Linked DNA regions of Coturnix japonica. The protein of the gene in region 2 binds, or shares a complex with, the protein of the main gene of each other region. Links are inferred from orthologs where the notes say so. Each region holds a gene or a part of one and is shown on either strand. Other genes may lie near its edges.

Region 1 (3,825 bases), on a different chromosome or scaffold from region 2:
ACAGCTGTCTCTTTCAGAAAGATGAATACAGTGACGTTTTCTAAGTAAAAATATCCACAAATCACACCAAACGTAAGCATGAAACATTTTTCAGGTTTTTCAATCTCTTTCTAAGGGGTCACGGGTGGGACAAAGGTCACCAAAGATGCATTTATATGAAATCCCACAGGATACTGATACATCTCATCCACTTAATTGTTTCATCCAGGATACACGTAACACGTTTATAAACCCACAAACAGAACTACAAAAGTCTGTCTCGTGGGTGACTAAGAAGCTGGCACATTGGTCAGATGATTCTGCCTGGAGTTTGGACTGAAAAAAGTCACTAAATATCAAGCTGGAAGTTCAGCCATAACAATTAACATGAACTAAATGCAGCCAATGAGTCACAATGACACAACTGGAGAAGTGCAGAGTTAATATCACACTACTTAGAGATTATTTAAAACCTTAAAATTGTGAGACCTACCAAAACCACACCACTTAACCAGATATTAAACTTAAATACATACTTCAGTTAAAAACAAAATAAACTAGGTGCAGTCACATTGAAGGTGTAAGACCTGCCACCAGTACTACAAACAGAACTGTTCTGCTAAGACTCATACTTCCAAGACAACCAGTCTTACTTCTTATATCTACCCATATATATTTTATTAATAACAAGACTCCCATTTGTAAAAACAAACAAGATGTGACTTAGCCTGAGTTAACACGCAGTAGCACATACACTAGAAGTTACGAGAAAATTAATTCCAAGTATTTCTATTTAAAAAAACAGCATATCAGGATGCTGAGAAATTGCTAAATCTATTAAAATTTCAATAGATTCAATTACTTTATTAAGAACATATTTTCTTACAGCTAGCCATTCAATCAAAACCATAGAATGGAAAAATAGAGTGAATTGTTTAAAACACAACAGCTGAATACCCAATACCACATTGCCGAGGGCCTAATCTCAGTTGTCACTGGCTAAAGCACTGATATTTTATAACACAGAATTACTACTATCATTAAGAAGTGCAATATCAGTAAATAAAGAAGAAAAGAAATAACACCAACCCCTCCTCGCTGACCATCCACATGTATGGAGCGAATATGATCTGCCAAATCCGGGCTGGAGCTGAAGCAAGCGTGGCAGTGGTCCCAACAACAGTTATAAGCAATGCTTTTTGCAGAGGAGGCAGGAACTCCTTGTCCATTCATCATCACCGGAGTTGAACGTCCACTGGAAATTGTGCTGTCTACATCCATAATAGTGCTGCTTATGCTGTAAGAAGAAAGTTCGTGTTTGTTACACACTTTACTTGTTCCATTTAACTTTATGGCATTGTATCAGATACATTTAGGTCAAAAAGAATATCTTAACATTATCAATTATGATTCATCACCTAAAATAAAGCATTCAGCCAGGCAACAGCCACTATCACTCTACTGTGTAACACCTGGACAACAGCAACAAAAGACAGAGCTGGAAAGTTTTATCCCACTCACTAACTTGCCAGAAAATCTTGTGTGGTTGCAGCTACTTCTAAGGCACATTTTTACTCAGGGGATGAGGGGAAAGCATGTGTGGTCAGACCAGAGATGTATCCACACCTACATTCACAACTGACCCTGACGTTTTACAGGATGTTGAAGACTCCCACACTTAATTCCTTGCTCTGGTAGTATGACTATCACACACACAGATTAAATTAACCATTTGACCTTGTTTGGGGTTGTTGGTTTGGCAGTTTTTGGTGATTTTGTGTGGGTTTTTTTGAGGGTGGGGGGGAAAAGGGGTGTGGGGAGGACTGGGGAAGTAAACTTTTGTAAAGCAATTAGCAGCAACTGTTGGGAACATATGGACAGCAGGGTCATTTTTATCAGATGGTCTGTTATGAATCATGACAGACACAGAACTGAGCATGAAACTGGACCAGAAAAAAAAAACAAAACAAAAAAACTGTGGTGCTCATTTCATATTAATGTAAGAATTACAAAGAATTATAGAGGTAGGAGGATGTTGTTCCTGGATAAAAATTAAATAACTACGGACATGCCCTTTTTTTAAACCTAGTAAAGAAGCTCGTTGTCTTTTAGAACCCTTTACGTTTGTCTTCCATAAAGCCACAGAATCAGAGGACAGCTCATCTTTGAAAGGATCTCAGGGAGCTAATTAGTCAAATTTCCTGCTCAAACAGCAGCAAATAAGACCACAGAATCACAGAGTGACCTGGTTTGGAAGGGACCTCAAGGATCATGTAGTTCCAACCCCCCTGCCTGGCAGGGCCACCAAACATACGCCTTTACTAGATCAGGTTGCCCAGGGCCCCGTCCAACCTGGTCTTGAACACCTCCAAGGACGGGGCATCCACAACCTCCCTGGGCAGCCTGTTCCAGGACCTAACCACTCTCCTAGTGAAGAACTTCCCCCTAACATCCAACCTAAATCTTCCCTCTTTTATCTTAAAAAGATTGCCAGTACCTTCTACTTTTTAATGGGAAGTTTCTGCTACCATTCTAAATCGTTTTCTCAAACATCTTATTAACCTCATTGTGGAAAAAGGGAAAAATTTCCTAACATCTCATCAGAATTTCTAGTGTTCCAACTTTAGTCTGCCATCATCTTCTTCACTTTACAGTTGACAACTCCAGCCCTTCCTTTGCTATGCATTCCTTATCAGTAATAAAACAGCAATAACCCTCCCATTCTTATTCTAAAACTGAAGAAACCCCAGCCTCTCAGCCTCTCCAAGCACAGCATTTACTTCAGCTTTCTAACCAGCCTGGAGGCACTCCACTGGAGGCTTTCCAGTATGTCCCTGAGAGGCATATGTCCAAATGGATAGAGTAATCCAGATGCAGTTTCAAAAGTGCCAGGTAAAGAGGAACTATTACTTCTGTTGACCTAACAGATATACCTTTTCTAGTACAGTCTAGTACGTGGCAGTGGTATTTACCTAAGTGTCTTTACAGTCTTCTGAGTAAAATGCATGGAAAAAATAAAAATCAAATGGCATTACTTTAAAGGAAATGTTGCTCCATATTTCTGATGCCATACTCACTATCATTCTTTAACATATTTTGACATGGATGAAACAAAAACTGTACCACTAGTCAAAATTTGAGGGTATAACCAGCACATTTGCTCTTCTGCTTTAAAATAATTTCACAGAATCACAGAATGATCCGGGTTGGAAGGGGCCTCAAGGATCGTGAATCTCCAAATCCCCCACCACCAACCTCCATATTTAATACTAGGCCAGGCTGCCCAGGGCCCCATCCAACCTGGCTTAGGGAACTCATTTCATCATACTCCTTTGTTCCTTTAACCACTGCTAGCTACCATCTCTTTCCTCATTGCAAAATTGCAATTTCGCTTGTTCATATTTCACCCCTTCTCAACCATAGGCATTTCACTCTGTTTGTCAATATGAAATTTCATGTTAAGGTAGCAGACTCCCTTCACTTCCAGTTAGACCTTGTCAACAGGTTTTTGCTTTTATAGAAGTCTATCAAACATGAATTTGCTAAATATTATACAAATAACCATCATCTATTTTTCAATTTCATAAAAAAGACTAACCCTTTACACGGCACACCTTCTCTCCACAAAAGACACAATGGCTTCTTTCTGCTATGCAACATTTTCCCATATGCCCCTTGTTTATTTTGTTCCCTTTTCTATATCCTGCACATGTACAGCTTTCCACGCCCCACATCTAACCCCACCTTCTTTCTTCTGTACAAGTAGTAGCCGAGGTTCCTTTCACAACACAGGCTAGCAGTGATAAAGCCAAGTGGCCAATAGAAGCCTACAGATATGGTTTTGAA
Region 2 (2,787 bases):
AAAACAGTTTGTGAAAACATTTTCCCTTTTTTATTCCACACATACTGTACACACAACCGGAAAAGGGCAACAGCTACTCCATTATTATTTTTTGTTGTTGTTCAGTGATGTAAGCAGCACTTATAAATGTTACAAGAAAAACCCTGTAAGCATCCAATCCAACCGATGAAGAAAGTGAAACGTAAGGCTTTTCTTCATCTCGTCTCCTCGCCACCCCTCCCCCCACCCCAAGAAAAGGCTCAAGTATTTAAAAAAATTTACAGGCATATGTACAAAAGGGGTGATTTTTTTTTTTGTTTCTTTTGTTTGTTTTTTTGTTACAACACGAAGAGAAAAAAAAAAAAAAAAGAGAGAGACAAGATGAAAGCAAATGCATTTTTTCACATTCAAAAGAAATACGCAGACTTGCTAGTGGCTCTAAACGTGATTGCATCGTGAAACGAAGCCCAGACAAAACAAATTAATGCTCAACGGTGTGAAGGGTGTGAAACACAGCAGTGGAATGGAAATGGAATGTTCAAAAGATTGCACGTCTATGACAAAAGAAGCACTTATGGCTTCAATCACTTTTTTTTTTTAACTTTTTTTTTTTTAAACTTTTTTTTTATTTTCTGTTGTTTTTTTTTGTTTTGTTTTGTTTTTTTTCTTTCCAAAGGATGCTATTGAAGGGTTTTTTTGATAAAGTAGCCAACAGCACCAAAAAATAACAGAATGGATTTCCTAATGAAATCAGGCACAGTTTTCCCTCACGTGACTCCTCAAGGCAGGCAGTCTTTTTTTTTCCTCCTTTTTTCTTTTTAAATTTTTTTTTAAATTTTTTTATTATTATTTATTATTTTCCCCCTCCAAACAGATGCATAGTGATGTGCTGGTAAAAGAGAACATACTCCAACTCCCCTCCTTTTGCCTACAGTTAGTTAGGAAACAAAGTCCTTCTTCAGCTGCCGTAACCTCCCAAAGAAAGTAAGTAAGTAAGTAAGTGTGGATCCTCCAATTTAAAAAATTACAAAACTCCACTTGCTGTGACAGAATAAAAGACAGCCAAAGTAAAGCAATTTCTTTCAAGTTTTTGTTTTTTCCTCTCCCATCCCTTTTCGCTCTAGAAAAATCTGCTCGCGTGACCGGAGAACAAATTAGAAAACTTTAACCTAGTCAAAAATGGGTTAAAAGCCTTTGTTGGTTTTTTTTACCCCCTCCCCCAGTTCCCAGAAAGGCTTCTTTATTTTCTCAGCCCCAGGGTCAATACAAATTAATATCGATCAGCCCCTCTCGCCGCTTTTAAAACAGTGAACATACGGCAGTTTAAAAAAATCAGACTGCTGTATCTACCTATCCTAAGTACAAAAACAAAAGAAATCCAACAGTTTAATGCTAAAACAAAATTAGTTCTCTAAAACCAGAAGAAAATCTTCTTTAGAGCTAGTGCAAAGACAGCTTGTATTCTACAGCAAGTACTCCAAACTATGGTATAATAATTACAAAAAATATATATAAATTGACAAAATGAGAGTGTTGGCATCTTCAGGATTAACTTGAAGCACTTTTGGATGAACTGGAGGATGAAAGCCTGGATGATGGCACGTCGACTGTCGCTCTCTTCCGAGGTCCTCTTTTTGGTGTGGGCTTGCTGATACAGTTCTCAATGCTGCCATTTTTACCAGATACTTTTCCACAGATTTGATTGACCAGACTGATTATTTGTTCCTGTTCAGGAAGTAGGAAAACAAAACACAAGTGAGCATCCTTCCTTTTTCCGAGCACCTCTGTTTGATAAAGCGGGTGTAGCGCCATCCTTTGGTTGACGGCACCTATAACCAGGGGGAAATAGCTGCTGCTTTGCTAACTGACTGCACGGCAGCCCATACGACCACTATTTCACAGGTGGGGTCTGCCTAAGAAGCAGTGCACTATACCTGGAATGGTGCCCCTGCTGTAGTTTCCTGCCTCTGAGTGCAGAGTCAGCGATGGGTGACAGGACTGCACCAGGCTGAGCACTGGGCTGCACAGATACAGCTCAGCAGAGCCAAAACTTTGCTGCAGACATGATTAAAGGCCACTGCTGAGCAAAGTCATAAATGCCATGAACTTACTGAAATCTGCAAGTGGCAACGCTTGCTACCTGCTGTTTACTGAATACTTATTTAAAACTTAGGGAGAAGGTCCTGCTTTTCCCTATTGAGACTGTTGCCATTTGTTACAGGATGCTATTTTCCGTTACTGCTTTTAAGGATCTCTGGATGCCCCAAGTGCTCCAGGCTAGTGCTTGGTGCCACACAGGGCCCAGGGCTATGGGTCCGTGGCAATACAGTAAGAACGAGACAGGAGTCCCTGAGCAGCACAGCACAGTGCCTGTGCTGCATCACCACTCCTGCTCTCGCTGCAGTCAGTGGCTCGGTGAGGTCTGGAGTGAAGGGAGAATGTCCCCTCCTGGCAGGAATCTTAAGAAGTTGGTTGTGGGCAAAGCACAGCTAACAGTTAAATAGGTTTAACAGATGGCATTTGACGTGAAGAATTGCTCTCTCTCTCCCTGTTCACAGCTCTCAAAAATAAATTATGTAACATCCAGCAGGCCTACACTGAGTATCCTTCAGAAGTGCAGAAATCGAGAGAGTCTTTTCATTTGGGGAAGAAATCCCCAAATCCCTGCTTTGTAATTATAAAACCAGTCATTACTTTATGTGGTGCTGATTAAGAGTGGCTCAATAGAGTTATCAGTACTGTGAAGACCCAGGATATAAGAGCCTAAATAAGCTCAGGAATTAAGAGAAATGTATTTAAATTTCCAAG

Evidence for each region.
Region 1: the proteins of JARID2 (region 2) and AEBP2 are in contact, whole or in part, in a cryo-EM structure (PDB 8VNZ), measured with the Homo sapiens proteins. The link is inferred for Coturnix japonica from reciprocal best matches to the Homo sapiens genes JARID2 and AEBP2. Residues at the interface, in NP_004964.2 of Homo sapiens: Ser148, Lys151, Pro152, Lys153, Thr154, Glu155, Asp156, Leu158, Thr159; in NP_001107648.1 of Homo sapiens: Arg407, Ala410, Ile411, Asn414, Leu415, Glu420, Ser421.

What each region holds. Positions count from the first base shown.
Region 1 is NC_029516.1:59,182,112-59,185,936, reverse strand, and holds part of AEBP2 (zinc finger protein AEBP2), read right to left. Parts: intron 1,277-3,825; coding exon 1,069-1,276; intron 1-1,068. UniProt on the Homo sapiens protein: Acts as an accessory subunit for the core Polycomb repressive complex 2 (PRC2), which mediates histone H3K27 (H3K27me3) trimethylation on chromatin leading to transcriptional repression of the affected target gene.
Region 2 is NC_029517.1:67,710,716-67,713,502, forward strand, and holds the end of JARID2 (protein Jumonji), read right to left. Parts: intron 1,705-2,787; coding exon 1,528-1,704; 3' UTR 652-1,527; downstream 1-651.